2 linked regions of the Drosophila melanogaster genome follow. The protein of the gene in region 2 purifies or fractionates together with the protein of the main gene of each other region. This does not show direct contact. Each region holds a gene or a part of one and is shown on either strand. Other genes may lie near its edges.

Evidence for each region. The genes of interacting proteins can lie anywhere in the genome.
Region 1: the proteins of Agpat3 (region 2) and CG31729 purify together in Drosophila melanogaster (affinity purification with mass spectrometry, with the first as the bait; one large-scale study listed by BioGRID). This does not show direct contact.

Annotation. Positions count from the first base shown.
Region 1 is NT_033779.5:13,285,658-13,296,412, reverse strand, and holds the start of CG31729 (uncharacterized protein), read right to left. Parts: upstream 6,417-10,755; 5' UTR 5,727-6,416; coding exon 5,122-5,726; intron 3,405-5,121; exon of another isoform or gene 3,335-3,404; coding exon of another isoform or gene 3,140-3,334; exon of another isoform or gene 2,998-3,139; intron 784-2,997; exon of another isoform or gene 655-783; coding exon of another isoform or gene 590-654; intron 66-589; exon of another isoform or gene 1-65. Other genes in the region: CG16824 (uncharacterized protein), read right to left, coding at 3,140-3,334; Uvrag (UV-resistance associated gene), read right to left, coding at 7,123-7,237, 7,323-7,733, 7,786-8,108, 8,172-9,039, 9,100-9,473; Drep4 (DNA fragmentation factor-related protein 4), read left to right, coding at 10,004-10,243, 10,595-10,718.
Region 2 is NT_037436.4:16,381,859-16,392,613, forward strand, and holds the start of Agpat3 (1-Acylglycerol-3-phosphate O-acyltransferase 3), read right to left. Parts: upstream 3,952-10,755; 5' UTR 3,597-3,951; coding exon 3,570-3,596; intron 2,622-3,569; exon of another isoform or gene 2,309-2,621; intron 2,256-2,308; coding exon 2,069-2,255; intron 2,009-2,068; coding exon 1,473-2,008; intron 1,075-1,472; exon of another isoform or gene 974-1,074; intron 882-973; coding exon 524-881; intron 300-523; coding exon 214-299; 3' UTR 1-213. Other genes in the region: RAF2 (RING-associated factor 2), read left to right, coding at 4,779-5,098, 5,163-7,490, 7,547-7,762, 7,821-8,019, 8,078-8,326, 8,444-8,485; CG44836 (uncharacterized protein), read right to left, coding at 9,264-9,494, 9,619-9,759.

The sequences.
Region 1 (10,755 bases), on a different chromosome or scaffold from region 2:
GTATGAAAACTGCGTCGTCTGCGCGTTTAACAACCCTGTTTTTGCGATTCTATATAAATCAATAAGGGGGAAAGTGACAGCTATATATGATTGTCGTTCGCCAGCGCTGCCATTAGAGTTTGCTACTCGAATCTGGCAACGCGCGTACTTTGGGCGCCAATTTCAAATGAGTTGTTTGCCGGGCGGGTTTCTTTATGACACGTTTATTGCTCACTCAACAGGTCTTCTCGTCGCTTTCGTTAGCACTCGGATGTTAATTAAATAAGCTCTTGCAAGTTGTCTACGCTTCAGCTGCTTAGATCAGCACTAGCGATGTGCTGCTCCTCTTATTTGTTTGCCCACGAGCGAACTGGTTTTTTAACAGCATTTTTTCTTTCTTTACGACCATTCTATTTGGCTGCTTGCGCTAGACGTGTGCGAATAGGAGCGCGCTTCGAAGTTTTGTCAATATAACACACACATTCGTTGGCCAGACGATTTCATGTCATGATCTCATAAGAAAAAGTTGCCAAAAATGCTTAAGGGAAAGTTCAACGACCAGTCTGCTACAGCAACAGACAAAACAAAAGGGCCAGCAGAATTAGCTCACCTGTATGACTCATGCTGCACTTCAAAGTCAGCGCTCTTACCGCCGAAGCCTTGGGGCTCCGCCATAATCCCGATATGTGTCACGCTCGTTAAATACGCCTAGATGCGTTTTTATTGTATTTTCGCCATTTTTAGATGCTCGCTTATCAATCGAACTGCGATTCAGCTGAGGTATCTCATCCTGTCTACCCACTGAATTGAAATGCAATCGTCAACAATTGCAGTGGCCATAACAAACAATTGCCGCAATTCGTTTCGTTCTGAGTAATTAACTGGAAATTTCAAAACGAATTGTAGACCTCAGCAGTTTGGATTCCATGCTACTTCTCAAGCAAATATTGTTTTCCGCCTTTCCTATTAAATATATATTTAACCAGCTGCTAGTAACGAGATTTTTGCAAGTGTGCACATTTTCGGCATTATAAATTTCGAGATTTCAAGTTTTTGATCTCCCATTTTTAATGATTCAAAAATGCACGTTTTACGCTATTACTTGAAAATAAACAATTATAATTTAAAAACTTTACGTTTTAATATCATACATATAAGAATAATAGAGCTGTGGATATGGATGACATATAATTATATCGAATGAAAATCTTTTAAATGGGTGTATAAGATAAATATTTTTATCAGTTCTGTGGCTTGATAGCATTGCATTATCTTTGACCCAGATCAAAACAATAATAAAAGATTCGAATACTACTTTGGTTTGTAAAAGCTGAAAATTATTGCATGTAAAATGAAACAAAACTCATTTAAGCCCATTAAAATTCTTTTTAACCGAAACCCCGTTTATCAAACATAAAAAGCCACGAAATTGTCAGGGGAAAAACTATTTTTCACTGATATAGTTTTTTCTAAGTACACGAGTACATGATTTGTGTTATTTATGCATAGCCTATCGGTTACTCATTGCTTATTCCTTTAAACTTCTTCAGCCGTTTTTATTTATTGGCTGTGTGCCACAAAGAAAACTATTTACAAGTTTTTTCACAAGTAAACTACATAATTGAGGGCTCAGAAATGTGTTTAAAATGACCTATAGCTAGAAATTTGAGTTATTTTTTATTTTGTATATATTACAATTACCTACAGCTACTTGCTACTTATACTTATCAGGCTTAAAAACCCTTAAATATATTACTTTACAGTCATACCAGCTTAAATTCAAAAATATGAATTATTTAAAAATATTATTTTTTTTAAATCGAACGGCTGCTTTACTCATTAGTACTTGTACATAAATATTTTATGGATTACTAATTATTTTGTTCCAGTTTCTTGAGCTTACATCACGGAAATTTTGTAAAATCCTCAAATGAACTGCAACTTTGGCTAGCGATAATATATTATTATTTTTGAAAAGCGAAAATGTACATATTGCTATATGTACCATATGCACATATGGCGATTGCGGAAAAAGGCAAATATGGTTGGCTATTCGGGCGGGAGTGGAACGCTAACACGTGTACAATATACCCTTTCACGGGTAACCGGATTGGAATGAGGTGAGCCATGAATAGTGTGACTTGCGCCGCCTTCTGCCTTCTGCCTTTTGGTTATTAACCCACATTGCCGGTGGGTGGAAAACAATGCCAGGCCAAGTTGCGGGCGTCAATCGTTGAGGCATTTCACCGCTCAAGCCTCCAAGCCCCCGGTTTTGCCATGGCTTTTTCTGTTCCCAGCCATTTGCATTCGCAACTAGATAAACAGCTAACGGCGACTAGAAAATAATAACATTAGGCGTTACCATTGACAGTTTGTGGCGTCCACGAGGGTGGTCAGGGGGGTTGGGGGGCGTGGCGCACTAATTTGGATGCGGCTAAGTGAAAAAAGCTTGGGAAAAGTTTTTTTGTCAGCTGGTGGTAATGGCTTTGGTTGTAGCCATTACAATTAGCTTAAGTGATTGATTAGAGACTTCAGGAGATTATTGAACTGTTTTCAAAATTTAACTGAAATTTAGTAAGTAATCCAAGTTACTTGCCTTGTAAAAGACAAGCACCTTAGGTTATCAGTAGCTCTCTCACTTGATAGAGCAATGGAATATTTTTGGAAGATAGCTGGTTCCACCACAGTGGCCACCGTGGCAACAACAATCACACCAACCAAATTGTGCCGCATGGCGCCTCACTTTGCAATTCTAATCGGCCTGTCGAAATCTTTGAGCCTCATATAACCGAAACGGCGGCAATTGGAGTTGAGCGTGAACAAAATGTAACGAAAAACCCGAGAAAAGTTTCGAGCGCCCCGAAAACAGCTAGGCTTTGATTAAGGAAACCTTGAGGAGAAGTTGAATGTGTAAAGGCTTCAAGATATTTTCGTGGTCAGTGGGCGATAACGAGTTAAAGACGCACATCAAAGGCAAAAAATGACATTGAAGTATTGAATTTGGAGATGAAGACAAATACCAAACACCAAAAGTTATATGTTTTTTCAGTAATTTGCTGTACAATAACGTGAAGACTTCAATTCAAGGGATAATAAAAGTTGGTCCACATTGGTGTGTTTTGAATATGCCAAGATATACAGATGAAGGTGTGGCAATGGATCACTTTTTGCCGGACTTTTTGATACCGCCGCCAAGAAGAGGTCCCTTCTTGGAGGCACCTGCCTTGGCCGCCTCCATAGCCTTCTGCTGCTCCTTCTGCTTCTGTTTGAAGGCCATGTCCTCCTCGTCTAGATTCTTCGAGTCCTTCTTGGGCGCCTTTAGAGGCTTCTTCTTACCGCCCTCGCGTCCAGCCATTCTGACTTGCTATTGTCTTTTCCCACTTTTGTCGATTTCTATATCAGTATTTGTCAATGTTTACTTTTTTCACATTCAAGTGACAAATAGATGTTCACATAAGGAAACGCTTTGTCAACATAGAAAATTTAGAAGTTTAAATAACCATATCAATCTGCAGATCTATGCTGCAATTATTTGAAGTTGGGCGGCAGAGAAACTTTCAATTTTTAACACAGAAAGCAGAGTCCGACCGAAAAAGTAAAACTAAAAACCCTAAAGCGACTCACTTCTTGTGTGCAACTCGTTTGTATTTTTTAGAAACCTTGAATACAAGATTGTGTTGTGTGGCCAAAACCAGCTGAGGAACTGGTTTTCGAATTTTTTAGCATTTCTTGGTGACTTCTTGAGTCGTTTTCGTTCATGTTTCTTATTTTCGTTCGCCCACCAATGGGGCTTAAAGTCGCACGGCAAACATCGATTAAAAATGCACAGCTAACGGGTGGTGTTGTGTGTGATATTTTTGGCCAAAGTTTTGCGGCAACAAGAGTTTGTACTCTAAAACAAAAACAAAACAAAATAATAAGAAAAACGCTCGCTTAGTGGGTGTGGAGCAAGGAAATGGCAAGGAAAGGCGGGGCATGGATGGCAATGTTTGCGTTTCGTTTATGCCTTGTCACCCAACCAAGTCGCTCGTCTTGGCCACTATTTATAGCCGTGTTTTTGTTATTATTTTCCATTCGTCGAAATCTTTTCCCCCAGTCTTGGAAGTCGTCACGTTTATCGATTTGCACAGTCCGTCGACGGCGCGCAGAAAACGAAATGTTTTTAATTTTCTTTCTACGATCCACTTACAGACGTGCTTGCTTGTTCGCATGTGCGGCCTTTCTCAAAAGTTCTCTCTAATTAGGTAAATTAAAAATATATCTTGGAATCGTTATATATATATGCTATACATATATGCTTTACATACAGTTGCATTCATTGTGTATGTCACACATGTGTGGCGCACAAATTCTCACACATTCAGCTAGAATTTATTTTCTTGGAAATGTGTTTCGTAAAAGTTCTAAGTTAAGAAGAACATCAAATTGCAAGACAACGCTGCTCATTTTGGGAAACCACACAATGATTTGGCTCATGCCAAAAAATAATAAACAAATATTTCAAGTGGCAGAAACAAAACAACAACTTGTTTGCCATAACAACTGTTGAGTTGCGAAAGTGATAGAATGTCTAGAACGTTACAGAGGTCAACGTTTTTTCTTGCCAAATATTTAATATACATTTCAATTATTTATAGAAGTTTACGATGAAAAACAGTTTTATACCTAGTGTTGTCAGCATTTTATGAGCAATGGTATTCTACGTTCAAAGTCAACTATCTACGGAAACACAGATTATAAAATTCCACAAAACTAATTTATTTCATAAGACATTTAAATTGAAGCGATAAGAGATAATATTTCTTCAAAAATATACAAATTTTCGAGGTCTTAATGTGATAGATTAAAACTTTTGCTTCCTGCTATAGTTATAATTTATTCAATACCTTGTGGTAAAAGTAAAAGGGTCTCAATCGCCATTAAACGCTTATGTGCGAAAATATAAAACATTTAACCATTTTCCCTAAAGGTAACACTTGAATTCCCAATATTTTGCTGGCCAGTGAACAGCTGTTGCGGCACTATATACTTTCGCATTACTCCCGCTGCCGCCAACTATTGCAGCAGTGAAATGGAAATATTGCGCATACGCAGCGTTGGCATTGGAGGGTAACGACTGGATCGCACCGAATGCACACTCACCTGCAGAGGCACAACTTGCAGACGTTGCCAATGCTGCGACTCTTGCTTTTACGCCGATTGTGCTGGTAGAAGACCGTGGATGAGCCATTTTCCGGATCTATGACGGTTGTGCTGTGCGTAGCGCCATTGCTGAGATCCCCCGTGGCAGCAGATCCTCCAGATGCCGCTACACTGCCATCGCCAGTGGTTACTTTAATGCCGGTGGCACTGCCACTCCCACCACCACCGCCACCGATCGATCCCGCCCCCGCGACGCCCGATGACGTGTGCGTTAATTGCGCCAGTTTCGAAATGCTGCTGTAGCTACCGTTTGAGTGTTTGGCGCGCTCGCGACTCCGCTCATTTCTATAACGTATCTGGCCGGCGGCAGAGCCAAAACTGTTGGATCCGAAAAGATTGCCCAGAAAGCTGCCTCCGCCGCCGGCGGCAGAGCTGCCAGCGCCGGCGTCGACGCCGCTGTAGCCCATGGAGCTTTTGCGTCGCCCCCTAATGTTGTTGTTGTTCTGTTTACCGCTCGGTACATCGCGGCGTATGAGCAATTCGGTCTCCGAATCCGTTTCGCTCTCTTCGTCGAAATCTCGTAGCGGTACATTGCTCTCAGCCATTTTCAAAACAAGAGAGCTTAAAAGAGAGCAAGCGTAGTCAGCTTAAAGTAATAAGTTTTGATTAAAAGAGCTGTTCGAAAGAGTTTTGGCGCCTGAATTTAACTAATTAGCACCAGAAATGCAGTTTTACTCTCACTTTCAGATGATATTATCTCAGAAAAATTAAATGCTGGGTACTCAGTTAGTCTTATTGCCACGTTTCCATTGAGCAATTTTCAGGCGTGAACGACGGCTGCTCCTTATCACACCTGGAGTTTTATTCTTTTATTTTTTATTTGAGCGGTAAACAGGTAGGGTAAACACACTATATATACGCGTAAATCACAGGCATTCCCCGTCGTCCGCTTATCAGTGGCTACAGTTGCCGGCTACCAAATCGTCACCATAAATACCAATTGCCTACTATTGCTCAGCGTTTTAATTTAATTGATACGAATTCGATAAATAAAAGGCCAAGGCCCGGGCCACACACACATATGCACATGCACTTCATTTAGCACGTTGGTTTGCAGGCTTTTCGCGTTTTCAATTATTAAATCGATTATCGCACTACGTTTGGACGTTGTTTGGGTATTTGACAACACATTTTTTATTTATTAATAGCCCGGATGTAGCCCGAAAAACATTCAAATCCCGGAAGCAAGTTGCCAGCGAAATAATTTTGGCGAAATGCTAATCAGCTGGCTTTACAGACCACTGTTAACGGAACGGAACGTTTTGCAGCACTGACCAAGCAGTGGCTGTAATATTTTGAGTTTATTAAGGATTTAAAGCAAAACTTACATTTTAAATTATAAAGCAAAAGTTAATATAAGCAGATTGTACAATATTATGTAGTAACAGTAGCACATGGTATAATTTTTATAAGTTAAAGGAGCAATTTATCTTCATACTTTGCAACACTTTTTGGCGCCTAATTCAAACTATAATTAAAACTCATAAAAATACTTTTCAAACAGAATATACAAATAAACTAATTTTGGGGCTCAGCATTATTTCAGAACATATGAAGAAAGGCTTAGGTTTTCCGCATCGTAACCACTTCGTTTATTGTGACCTTGGATATTGTTCGACTTAATCTCTATCGACGTGTTTCTAATGTTTGTCATCCATATTAAATAAATATTTGTCATGTATAAAATATTTAATCTTTATTCGTAGCTTATATTAGCAAACAAACAATAAAAGGGAATTTACACAGAGATCTTAAACAACTAAAAATAATATTATCGCAATGGACTACCGTTCACATATACTTCACCATTGACTTTTATAATTTAAAAGTATACAATACGCGGCCAATACCAAGAAACCCGCTGAGGAGGAGCCGCTAAACAATGCTATCTTGGATATTGGATATAAACGCTGGAAATATAACACTTTTGGGTGCATTAGCTCAGCTGCGCTCAGTTTGCAGAGTTATGTTGGAGTCCGAATTGGAATAGTTATGCTCCAGTCGCGGGCGAAACTCATCCTCGCCATCTGAATAGGACCCCACCGAACGGCAAATGCTGCAAGAATATTACAATATATTATTATTAAATTTTATCCGGTAGTTTTTGTTTTTGGCTCTAAATATATGTATATATAGATTACCGTTGAGTTGACGCATAGCCTTCGATTGCCAGTGCCTCACTCACACCCGGCGGCAACAGCTGCTGGAGCAGTGCATCCTTGACCGCATTGACGCCAGTCGGCAGTGGCACATGATTCATGTCGACCGAAGAGTGCGATTGCGACAGGTGCGGCGCCGTCAACCCATTTGCCAAGCGTGCTTCTCCACAGCCAGCTCCAACTGCAGTTCCATCCCGTTCGTCGACCTCATCCCTTTGCGTTCGTTCGATGTAGCGAAGAGTGCTGAATAGCTCCAGCAGATTGCCAAAAGTGTTTCGCAGATCGCACTGGCCCGTGATGTCGAAGCACAGCTGCGAAACATTCTGGCGCAAAAGGTAGATGGCATACTTTGTTTGCTGCGACGGCAAAATGGAGCGTGTATACAGAGGAAATCTAAGATGGAACAATAAGATACCAAAAGGTAATATTTAGTCTGTGTGCTTACTCTCTTGTTGTGTACGTCAACTCTTTGATATCGTCCACTATCCTTGCTTTCGATGGCTCGTACAGAATACGGTTCCTCAGAGGTCGATCCATAATGATGGCTAACATCTGCACCAAATGGGCAACATAACCCAGTGCCGCACTCACTGCCAGCGGCGAGACGTTATCCAGAAGCTGTGCGTTTGCCGCCTGACGTGACTCGCTCGTGTATTGCTCCATGTGGGGGAAGGCGATGCCGCAGATACTAAATTGCCGACCGCCCACATTCTGGATGTTATAGATCTCCTGTAGCTCCAACACCAGTGTGGACATTCGGCGCTCCACCTTAAAAGGGTGAAAAGGTTTATTAATATACTTGTTTAATGTTATTTGATTCCGCAGCCCCACCTGCCGTTCTATTTGTCTTTTTTGATCGCGCTGTTCCAGATGTTGAGGTGCCAGGGTTCGTAGCTCCAGACGTTCTTTTTCCAGTCGATGTCGCTGGCTGTGGAGCTCCCATTGCTGTGCCTCCCGCTGTTCTCTCATCTCCTTCAGAAGTTGACGGGTGCGCTCGTTTCGTTGGCGAAACGTTTCCCGCTCCGCTTTAAGTAGCCGCTGTTGACTGCTTAGCGCTTCTATCCTTCTAGTTAGCTGCTGGGCATTATAAAGCGTGAGGGGCGCGATCTGCTGCTGCTCGGCGAGCAACACGCTCAGGGCGCGGCCCATGGAATGGTACTGATGGGCGGAGTAGTCGCCGGACAGCGATGTCGTGCGGGGCTTCAAGCGCAGCTCGTTCCTGGTCACACAGTGTACACTGAGGCGGGCTATTTCTCGGCAAACCTCGGCCATTTGACGCCGCTTCTGCTGATGCAAGCGTTGCAGACGTTGCAACGTGAGAAGCTTTTCGAGGTTGTTGCTTCGCCGAATCTCCTGCCGTTGGCACTTCAGCTGTGCATAGCGCATCGTACTCATTCGCAGCACGGGACTCGAACTACGACTAACGGCCGGCGAGTTTATGCCCTCATCCTGCGGCTCTTCTAGTTTCTCTTCCTCCGCATACTTTTGGTAGTGCAAATGCAGCTGCGACTGCAAGGCCTGCTCGCTTATCATCGACGGGGAGGCAAATTGCTCGCCATTCAATTGAAAGACCAAGCAATTTCGTCCGCACTGGGACAATGTGAGGGGAGACAGAGGTATAAGGCCGGAGAAGTAGACGCCCCAGCTGAACAGTAGTTCAGGAGGGCGTGGCAGCCTGCTGGGCGTTAACTGGGATCTTCTGGAAGTAAGTTGGTTGATGATAGCAGAGTTCTATTTGCAAGCAAAGTCTCCTATTTACCCGAAAACATCCTTATGTCTTTGCTCAACCTCAGGCGGTTGGCCATCTCTTCTTTCCGCCGAATAGTGCTTCCACACCTTGACACAGACACACTGCGCATTGGTTTTCCGCCAGGCCTCGTCGTCCGTACAAATCTCCGCCCACTTTTGCTGTTGGTGACGCTGCGGCAGCTTTTCGCTGGTGTAGAACGCTTCGCTAGCCTTGTCCGTGTGTAGTGTGTAGTAGAGGAGCACATCATCCGGATCATCTAGCTCCAGCGACTTCTCATGCGGCCAGGACTCAATATTGAATCCCTGAATTCTGTTAAGGTTCCGCAGTCGAAGTTGCTGGGTGGCTAGGGGCAGCCACTTGCGGCATCGCGGCCGTAGATTCATCGTAAAACGCCTTTCCGGGTGAGCTGCGGATTACGCGGAGCCCGTAGCCCAGATCATTGTACACTAAGACTACGTTTGTTATAGTTTTTCCACAGAAACTTTTAACAAAAAAAATGATTACCCGAACAGCTGTTTTTAGATGCATAAGTGCTGCAAAACACTGAAGGCAATAGTGGTGGGAAATGCGCCGTTCAACTTGTATTTTATTAATTTGGCTATTTTCATTTTATTAATTTACACATTATTTAATTTAAGAATAAATGAAAATTTTATCAATTTGAATTGATTAATAAAAATATAAAAAATATTTCGTTAATTACAAAACACGGGAAAAAATAAATTATTATTATATAGCTTTTTGCAATTTTTAGCTAAAATTGCAGCACAACTAAAGAATCTTTCAATGAGAATCTAGTGTTGAGAAGCGCGAAAAATGCCTTGTTCTGCTAGTTTATTTTGCTTTGTCCGCGGATAAGGAAACTTGCTGCGAGGACTACATTCCAAAGTTGACTTTATTATGAGCCAGAACGATGATCAGCTACATTAGAGATGCAATCATGTCACCGACAACACGCAGCAGCTCGAATAACAAGAAAAGCAGCCAGCCAACAGGCGAAGTTCTCAAGGATGTGAGCTCATCCGAATCCAGGGGAACAGCAGGTGCTCCAATGCGTGGCTACAAGGTTACTGACAACGAGCGAACGAGGAAATACGGAATCGGAGCCAATTCCCTGGAAATGCTGATAGCCAAGGCAAAAAGCAAGTTCCCGGTAAGAAAAAAAAAACAGGAAAAACTCCTGCGTAAAAGCGCGAAATATACACCCACCCACGTAGATGGGCTGAAAGTTCCTGGCTCTGGTAATTTTCAAGGCCATGTCCCTGGCAGTGGCTTCCGCGTTTGTTTGGCTCTCTTTCAATGCCACTAGTAAATGCCAATGCGCATGTCCTGTATAGTAGAGCTAACCACCTGTTGATGGAACGTCCTTGCCTGGCAAAAAAAAAAAAAGAGAAATGTGAAACAAACTGAAGGCCCCTGAACCAGGAATTGGGCGACCTGGCCTCGTTATAATTCGGCCATGTCAAGGGCATTACAATTAAATCGTTTTTTTTTTACCTTTTAGCTTCTCGAGCCACATTTGTATTTGGCTTCTGATGGCTTCGAGGTGTCCGACGATGAGTACTTAAAAAGCCTACCCGCCCAGACGCTGTTCATAGTGTCTGGCCCGGATGCAGTCATTACAACAGGTGAGCTGCAGTTTAAATATTTAACTTAATCACAATT
Region 2 (10,755 bases):
ACTACGTACGCAAATTGATGGCTCCAGTGTGCGGGAGTTACTTCGTAACTATAAACTTAGACAAGAAAAACATGCAAAACACTTTAAATCGTCCGGATAGGAATCACGAATTGATCCATTTAGCAGAGAGATTTGTGAGAGGACTGCCTTTTACAAAGTCATTTGTAGATAATTGAGTTCGACGACAATCGAAACTAAATGCGAATTCGAAAGTTACTTTGCGACCGACTTGGAGGATCCATAATTAGATGCCTTGCTGATCTGCGTCTTGTTGATGGCCTGACCCATGAGCCAGTAAACTGTAACAAGAAAAAAAGAATATTAATAAGATTTACAAAAGTTAAGGTTTTGGAGGGAGTAGGAACACATTAGAACGCGGCTTATATTATTGTTATAACCATGCAGACGTCATTATATATGAACTTTAGCATTTAACACTCCAAAAAGTTCTTAAAACTTAAAGAATGAACGGCTAATGCCGTCTAAAGTGCCATCCTCCTTAAAGATCGAACCCCAAACTTACAAAGTCCCAGGACGGAAAGTGCGGTGATAAAGGCCGTCCAGTTGGCCGCCAGCAGGGATGTGATCACGTAGTAGAAAATGCAGGACAGAGAGAATACCGCCCAGCAGACAAAGTTCACGAGTGAGCACAGCCGGCGTTTATTCACATATGCCGGAACCTCCTTTATGCCGGACGTCTTAAAGAAGCTGCCCGTCTCCAGGAAGCTATCGATGATCTTGTCCTTCTCCACGAACAGGTTCTGCAGCCAGGCGGCCGCCTCCTTCTCATCCTCCGGAACCTGTTCCAGTGGAATACGCCTCATCAGCAGGTGCGGTTCCACGCTCTTTCCATGCAGCAAACTCAGCATTGTGGCGGGGGTCTGAAAGTTCAATTGCAAGTTAATTAAGTCCGGTAAATAGCCTTTTAGTAGCTAAAACTGTAGTATCTTTATAAGCATCTTTTATAACTCACTTCTGCGAGTTTAATTTAAAACCATAATAAATTTGCAATTTGCTAAATTCTATGCACTTATCATTAGAACGCCAAATTACTCAGTTAAAAAATTAAGGTTGCTATGCTGGCTAAAGTGCTAATAATACTGATGACACGTCAAAGGTAAGGAAAATAAACCAAAATAAGGAAAATAAGTTATAAAAATTACCACTTGATTAACCTTGAAATGTTTGCTCATTCTAATCGGTATCTTTAAGAGCATCGATCTTAAGAAATCGTGACTCTTAAAAGAGGCAGTGAAGTAAATGAGCAAAATAATCGGATTAAACGAAAAGAAATTTGATTAGACCAAAGCAATCAGACAGGTATTGTCGAACAGGCTGATTAGCCTTATCAAAAATATACATGAGAAGCTTTGCCATGCAGAATTCTGCATTAAATGTATGGCACAATAAAATACAGTATTATATAACTAAAGCACTTAAATGAAGTGCTTGAAGTTTGCCGTTATAATTACCTTATCTGTGGGCCTGTACGCTAGATTAATGTCGTAGATTACCGGACAGAGACCGCGGATGGGTGCCAAGCTGGCGGTGAATCCCTTGGTGCGCGGGATCAAATGGTGCTTCAGCACCGTCATGCCCCTCTCCTGGGCGAATTTTACGGATGCCTCGTGCTTGGCGGGAGTGAAGCGAGTGCCCTCGGCGTTGAGCAAAAGCCAGGTGGGATCGGGATAGGAGAAGACCACCTTGAGCTGTTCGGTGATGATGGTCTTGTCCTGGTCGAAGTTTCGATTGAGGAAGACGAACTCGGCCAGCCACCAGCCCCAGCCGATGATGGGCACGTAGCGGATTGCCTTCTTCGCATAGGCCTTGCAGTTGCCCAGCACGCCCAACTTTTCGCAGATCATCCAGCCGTTGAGCCAATCGATCTCGTATTTATGGTTCATGATCAGAAGGACGTGTTCCTTGCCGGCATGCTTCTCGAAGTCCTCCTTGTCCATGTAGACAGTCATCTTGCTGCCGGCATACCAATCGGACACGAAGATAAGTTCTAAGGGATTGGAGGTATTATGTTTCTACTTCGAATCGGAACTGGTCAGGATATACTCACGGGAGTAAAGCGAATAGCAGGCATAGTACATCAACTTGCGGAAGAGTCGCTTGTCTATGGGCTTGATAAAGACGTGCATCAGCAGCTGGATAAAGTTGATGCACAGCCCGCTGGTAAAGAAGGTGAGCGCGATGCACAGGTGTATCAGTCTCAATTGTTTCAGCTTCTCCAGGGAACCCATTTTGATCTGCAAATAGCGATGTTTAACCAATAAAACGGCTGTCTTTACGTAATCACTACTTTAATTGTAGGTTGTTCTCCCGGTAGTGCTCGTAAACCCGCACTTTATGGTCCCAACGGTGGAACACCTAGTTTATGACCACTACACAAGGTCCCGCACTCACACAAGAGCTGCGTTTTCTTCAATTAAAAGCACGCGGCCAAGTTAAAAGAAATCGTGAAATCCGGGAAGGCAACCACCTGCACCACCAGCTGGCAATGGACTGGGGCAACCGCCGCACGGCAGAGATATTCGCCAGATATCAGCGGGAGCTATAGCCCATAGCCCTATAGGCTATAGCTTTTGCTAAGGCCGCTGCCGGAGGAGGAATCTAATCAGCCTTGGCCAATCGATGACTTCTCCGTTGGAAATAGCTACAGCCGCTGTGGACAAAGTCCGCCTGTCCGACGGATAGTCATTATGGGGCAGATACTCGCACTTCACAGTGGAAGCTCGCGAAAGTCAATAATCTTTAGAATGAGTGGGTTTATGGGGACCAAAGTGTGCAAACAGTTTAGCAAAAAATTGATGACAGTTAGGTGTCATTTTTTACATTTTGTACATGGAGATGTTTTAAAAAAGTACTAAAGTTTTACGACCGTTTTAATTATGAGTAAAAACGACAACTTTAAAACTTTAAACTAATTAAATCATTTCATTAAGGCGTTTAGCTATTCATATTTCTTATTAAATAATACTTGGCTTCGGATATTTTAGATATTTCAATTTAAGCAAATTTAAATAAGTTTCGAAACGATTTTCGGATTTTAAATAAACTAAAGTAATAGGTATTATATATTGAGATTATTATTTAAATGATCATGATTTACTTAAATTATGATTTAAAACATGTCAGCGGATAAAGTTTATCAAAGAAGTTTTTATTTGTATTTCTACAAAGTTATAAACAATGGTTGTAAAACGACCAATGATAAAGGTCAATCTTTTGTTTTGACACGTAATATAAAACTGGGACTGCATATATTTACATGCACAATGGAACGCACTACGTTTTTGTAATAGAAATGAATGCATTCAGTTGACAAGCACTGCTTTTTTTAAATTTCTTATTTCTTCCTATGATAATGGGATTTAAATCCAATGAAAAAAGGAGTACTTTTCATGCCATTTCTTATGCACACCGCCATTAGCTGAATCAACCGAAAATTCGCCGGGCCGAATTGATTGTATTTTTGATGCACTCAATTGGTGACCCCGACGTTGATTGCTGAACCCATTGTATTGAATTAGTTTACTTTTTCGATCGTCCACTTTACATACAACAAAAGAGTTCTTGTGCACGACCATGCGATTGTGTGCGTGTGAGCATGCATATACGTATGCATGTGCTCAGCTGGCGCACGTGTGCGAGTGTGTGTGTTTGGGAGAGGCGTGGGGTGGCGTGACGTGGTTAACATTTATGGTTATCAGTTCGCGATCTGCAAGGCAATAGCCACCCACAAACGATCAATAAACAAAGTCCTATTTAAAGGTATGTCTATCTGCAGCTGCGCCGTTCTTATCGGTTATTCCCTGTTACGCATATGCACATATATATACAGACACTGTCGGTCGTGCCCTTTGTTTACGAGTGTCACTGGGCGGGAATCGGTTGCTAAACACTGGTCACTACTATATGGTTATCACTCGGCGGCGTCGTGCCCGCCATTTACCTTTTTGGCAATGTTTTTGTGCGAATTGATTTGTTTTCTTTTGTAAGCCAAACGGTATGACCGTTCGAGTGCAATGACGATGACACCGGTGAACAAACGGAAAATCGCCACTTTTGCCTTTAGTATTTTTCAATATTTAATATTTGCCACCAGGGCTGTCAGGTTGCAATGTTGTAAAGGAAATCTGAATAATTTGGCTAACGATCTGCACTACAACTTATAGCTTATTAATGATTGATTTTTGATCTACGCTAACTTTTCCATAAATCAAAAAATGAAACTCTAGTGAGTAACTTATTCTAATATAGTTATTTGGTTTTTAGATATGAAATGACCGAATACCCCGAAACTAGTAATATTTAATAAGATTACTAGATTACTTTAATTTAATAAGATTAAAAATTTGTTTGCTTGGTTTACCTAACTAAGAACTAGTTGGAAGAACATATTTTATTCAGTATTATTTAAAGACTTTCCCAAAAGTGGTTACCCTATTGGTTTGCGTCCATACTAAATGCCTGTCAAAATTATTCGCAGAATTGAACGGCGAATTTTTTTTCGCATTTGGAAATTGGATTTTTGCTGAAAGTAAACGCTTTAAAACTGGTATAAACCCGAATTAGCCTATTTGGGGACTTGGGCCATTGTTTTAAGTGGTTTTCAGCAACTGAAAAGGTGAGCCCGTCGGCGGATTAGAATATTCAACCGGCAGACGATTTTTTGTTGGCCAAAAATTTGCAGACGTGAGCGCGTGAGTTTTTGAGGGGGTTAATGCCAAAAGATGTACATACCTGACCGTCGTCCAGTTGCAGGCCTAATGTCCAACGAGATCTACGACTCCTCCAATTCGCAGCTAAGTAGCGACGAGTATAGCCACGAGGAGGAGGAATACGACGCTCTAATGGACGCGGCGGTGAGCAAGCAACGACCCCAAAAGACAAAATCCAAGGGATCCGAGTCCGAGAAACCCGGAAATGGAGCTCCAGAATCGGCGGCTGCCACTGAGAAAAATGAAAAGCCAGATGACGATGCGGTGCCACCTTCCACGCGCTCAGAAACAATTCGGCGGATCCGGCAATTGCAGTTACAGCGTGGCAGGCTGCCCAATCTTTACTTCAAGCGTCGCAGTATTCGTTGGTAAGGCTTACTTCCCAAAGAACCTACTGAAACTGTAATCCTATCTTATCCGATCACACTTCAGGCTGCGACCCAATAAAATGGACTACAACAGCTATTTTGACGGCCTGAAGGACTTGCTGCCCAAGCGTAAATTGAAGCACCTGGTTCGCTTCCATGACAGGCAGCGCAGAACCTACGACAGCAGGAGCATCAGTCGTAGTCGCAGCCACAGCCGCAGTCTTAGCCGAAGTTGCAGTCGCAGTCGTAGTCGTAGCTATTCTCGCAGCCGCAGCGGCAGTGGTTCGCCGGAACTCATTTGCCTTGACGACACGGAGAACGAGGATTCGCCTGAGAAACCAGAGCAAGAGCCGGCAAGGGTTACGCCCATCAAGGAAAATAAGCCTACGCTTCCGGCTCCACCCCAACTAAACTACGAGCTGCCAGAAAGGAAGAAAGCAAACCCACTTGGAAACAACGAAAACGGTGCCTCTATCCTCGACGAGTTCCTGGTAAAGAAGGATCCCCAGGAACCGGTCTTCGACTACGGTAAACTCTCAGCGTGTCGGGAATTGGAACAGGCTCTAAAGGACCGGTCGCGAGATGCGCCAAATGAGGCAGAGTCGCTTGTGGTTGATGCCACTCTTAAAAGACGCCGTTCGGTAACACCGCCCGCTAGCGAAGAGAAGCGCAACAATGAAGTCGAGGATGATAATATAATTGGGTTTTCAACGGTGCAGCAACAGAAGCCAATGGAGGCAGCTCCACCATTAAATCTAAGAATGCCCACCACTCCATCGACTAATCCTCTTCAGCGTCAGCAGGCTTTTAAGCTGAGCACACCGTATACCCTGGCTCCGCCTACTGCCGCCAAGCAAGCTGACACTTACAGTTTAAATACTCCACCGCCAACGGCCACCCAAATGCAGATATCCTATCCCAACGAAAAGCTGTCAAATAACATGAAAGCTAATGCGACTTTCTCGATTCAACAGACAGCTTTATCCCAAGTCGCTGCATCCTATGCTGCTGCACCACAAGTGGCTGCCCTCGCGCAGAGAGCTCCATCTCAGGTTGCTCCACTACAACAAGCCCCCGTGCAACAGATGCACTTCCCAAGATCAGTTCCACCGCAGCAGCTTCCTCCACCACAGCAGCGAGCTCCTCCACAGCAACTGGCTACAGCTCCATTCGCTCCACCACGGCACCTGGCTCAACATAGACCATCTCCACAGCAGCTAGCTCCATCACAGCAGCTGGCTCCACCACACCAGCTAGCTCCACCACACCAGCTAGCTCCACCACAGCAGCGAGCTCCGCCACAGCAGCTAGCTCCACCACACCAGCTAGCTCCACCACACCAGCTAGCTCCACCACAGCAGCGAGCTCCGCCACAGCAGCTAGCTCCGCCACAGCAGCTAGCTCCACCACAGCAGCTAGCTCCACCACAGCAGCTAGCTCCACCACAGCAGCTAGCTCCACCACAGCAGCGAGCTCCGCCACAGCAGCGAGCTCCGCCACAGCAGCTGGCTCCGCCACAACAGCGAGCTCCCACACAGCATATGGCTCCACCACAACATATGGCTCCGCCACAGCAGCTAGCTCCAACACAGCAGCTAGCTCCTCCACCACAGCAGCTAGCGCCTCGACCACAGCAGCTAGCTCCTCCACCACAGCAACTAGCTCCTCCACCACAGCAGCTAGCTCCTCCACCACAGCAGCCAGATTCATCAAGACCAGCTTCGGTGCAGCCGTTGACCCCTCAAAGGCATGCTAGTCCACATCAGCTTGCCCAATCACAGCAGGTCCATCAATCGCCATCTCAACTGCATCCTGTTCCAGTGGCTGCTCCCAACTTTGCGGTGCCCCAACAGCCGCAACCCCGTCGATCGGAAACGGTGAGCACCCAGACGCAGGGCTTGGGGTCACCAGCGGCTTCTTCTTCGACAACCCGCCAAAAGTCATTCGTTGATCTCAATAATAGTGATGCAAACTTCCATTATCGCGTCAAAGAACTTTTCGATGAATTGAACTCGACAATGATTGATAAAATTAACTCGGTACCCCCTGATGAAGATTCATTGAAAAAAGAGCGCGAACGCATCGTTGCGGATCTTGCAGCCCTAGATAAGCTGATGGCCCAGAAAGAGGATGAATATAACCGACTGCTGTATTTGAGCTGCATTAAGAAGGAGCTGCATGAACGAATGGAGCGAAAGGAGCGCTTGATACGTATTAAGGACCTACTGCCCATCCTTATCAACAAGTGCGGCACCAAGGAGCTCAGTGAGGTAAAGGCTATGCTAGAAGAGGAAATCGATTCTCCAATGGCCTCCAAACATAGTTTGTCGGCAATTGAAAAATTACTGAATTACGCCGAGTTAAACCAGAACATCATACAGCTTCTGCGGGGGTAAATCTTTAAATGTTTAATTCTGAGAATCCCAAGTTAAAATTGATCGTTTTCAGTTCCTTGGGCTTAAATAAACGCGCACCGTCCGTGTCTCCGGCCAATTTCGAGGATGACCAAATGCTTTTTCGTAGAGATTCCTTGCCCGTAAGTCATCTATCAATGCGGGATCAGCATTACGAATCTCGGAATGCGGTAAATGACCATCTGCTAGATAGCAATCCAGACAGAGATCCGCCAGCCAAGCGACCGAAGCTAATCCACTCGCAAGACAGGTGAGAAAATACAAATAATATACTAGAACATATTATTTTAACGTCATATAATTTATAGTAACCAGGACATGGCAAGCTCCTCGACACATTTGTCAGCCAATCTTTCAGAGACGCTTCGCAAGATTAGGGCTTGGAAAAATTATTCGCATTTTAGTAACGTCTCAATGGAGGACAATAATTCGGATAATGAATCACAGATCGAACCGCTGTTCAACAGCAGTCCGATGGCCTCCCGTCGCCAACTGGCCAATAGACAGGTATGCACTTAATCACAATATTTTTTGACATTCCGCGAAAATAAATGTTTCTATTCAGTCCTACCAAGAACAACATTCCGCTAATATCAACGACCATGAGAATGTCCAAAAGAGGCACAAGTCTCACAAGCGCAAGTCGCATAAGCACAAGTCTCACAAGCATAGGAGCTCCCATAAGTCCCAGGCTGAATCTTCCGCCACCATCAACGGTAACACAGGTAGACAATGCCACGAGTGCAAGCTCTATGGAGCCACCTTTATGTGCTCCAACTGTCAGAATCAATGGTACTGCAGTCGTGAATGCCAGGTAAGCATTGTAGGATTTATTATGTATTTTATGCATTTTTTTAAATTGTTTTATCCAGTGACGCATTGAAGGAAAAGTACTCATGTTTACCTATCTTTTATAATACATTCGTTATAGCTGAGCGATTGGGACACACATCACCGAACTTGTGGCATTTAAATAGACTTCACTTAGGACATCAGCATTACTAAAACATAACTATATAGACGTATCGCATATGCACTACTATATATTTACTCAACCGTGTAACTCACTGAAGGACACAGGACACTGGCGGACCATTTTCAATTGCGTTTTATTGAATTAAGTGCTTGCAATTGTACTCAATCAATGAAGCACAATTTAAAGTGTAATATGCCTAGCTATTATAAGTTGGTAGGGATTAAATATAATAATTATAATTCCTTAATAATTGATTCCAATTTGCTTATGAACAACGCGCGAAATTCATTTTGTTTCAAAATCGTATTGATAAAATGTTCCTCGTTTTCCCACTTTTTTTGTTTGAAAATTAAATATCCTTGACTTCTTGTTTGCTACATAAAAGATATCTATTTAAGAATTAATATATTTATTTTCTGTTTCTTTGGATGTAATTCCATGCTAAAGGCAAAATAAACAAGTTCATATTTATTTACAAGCACTTATTATTTAATTTTTGGGAAGACTATTGAACCAAAAAGTATTAGTTCAACAAAATAAAGAAAATGATGAGACGTTTTAATACAATAATAGAAAGTGTTTTAAAATTGGTACTTATAAAATATAAAATTTTACCGTTTGCAGAACTGGTTGGCTTGGTCTATCGATAAATGGCGCCAAGTTTATTGTTCAAATTTCAAACAGAATTTTCTGTGAAATTCGACTAAACTTTGATAACATATAATTCGTATAATGGAATTTTTTCAGATCATTTAGGGCTTTGCCATCGCCTCATTTATTTACTGCGCCTGCGCACCTGGCACATCAGTTTGATGTCATTTATATGCAGCCGGAGTGGCTGCCTCCTGGACCACGGACCACGTCTCAGTTTCCGGATGCGCAGCTGCCGGCTGCAGTAGAGCCGGAATTTCAGATTCGGATTCCAGACGGCACCGGCCGAGGCGGAGGGCGTGACGCACTTGTAGGCATATTGCCACCATAATCGAATGCTCTGCTTGGTGCTGTGCTGGAATCGAAAGGGGATTGGATTCAATAAGTGTGGAAGGGTGTGTGTTTGTGTGTGGGGATGGCAGTAGTAAACATTATGGTGCACCCTAAAAGAAGGTATCCAACGGGGGAAACACACTCACCATGTAGACGGGCAAGACGTAGAAACGCTTGCACTCGCGCCGAACGAAATTGAAGGCGATGGGGCGGCGGTACGTCGATGACACCTTGGTCAGGTGCGAACGGATCGCACTGGCGCTGGTGGAGCGCTGCAGACGCTGGAGCTGCAAAATGGGAATGGAAATAGGCGCGCGCACGTAATTAGTTTTTCCAAACAATTGAGCACATTTCGAGAACACAAATTAATATGCGAAAAATGTTTGCGAAGAGTTCGCGCCAAATTTGGCTTGCAAATGATTCGAATCGCGCTGCGTTTCAGCTGAATTATGGCCCATAACTGTGTGTACTCGGTACTATATTATTGTACTTAAACTAGACACCTGGCTGTTGAAAACAATGCTAACTATGCCAGTAGAATTTGTATGGGGTATTTCTATTTTATTCGTATTTAAGCGGTGTTCGAAGAGAATAAAAACGCCCTTTTAATGTTTTTTTAGCAGCCAAAATTCAAGTTGTTCTTAAAAGGAAGATATATCTCTAAAGTATATATGTCTAAATTTAGTAAATACATACTAAGCAAATAAAGCCATAAAGATCAAATCGGAACATCAACAAATATTATTTTTTCCGCCCTAATGAAATACAAATTTATCGTTTGATAGAAAACCAAAATCCTGTTGTAATAAAAATGCTTATCGAATGAACACGACTCCATAATTACAACCGTAAACACAAAGTTTATGTGCTGTTTTATTTATATCAATAAAAGGTATTTGATTTTTTTTTTGTGGAGATATTGGTATTTAGCTATATCTGGGAAGACAGAAAGTTTGCTAAAATCCTTATCATTTAAATTTTATAAACAGTTGTGAATGAAATGATAATATACCGACATTATCTAGATGATTAATCACCTGCCGAGCAAGAAATCGTTATCTTAAGTTCGGAAAACTCCACAATAGTTATGGTATTTATGGTTGCGGGAGTGGGGATCGCTTGGGTGGGGCTTTGTTGGGTTCATTGTGTGTTGCTGTGGAGTGGGTGTTGGTTCGGGAGGGGGGGGGGGCGGTAAAGGGGTTGTCCCTGAACCTGCTTATCAAAGCGGCAAGCAAGTTGCAAGGCGGCTTGGATTGTTTTCGCAGTGAGCCGAAGTGACAGAG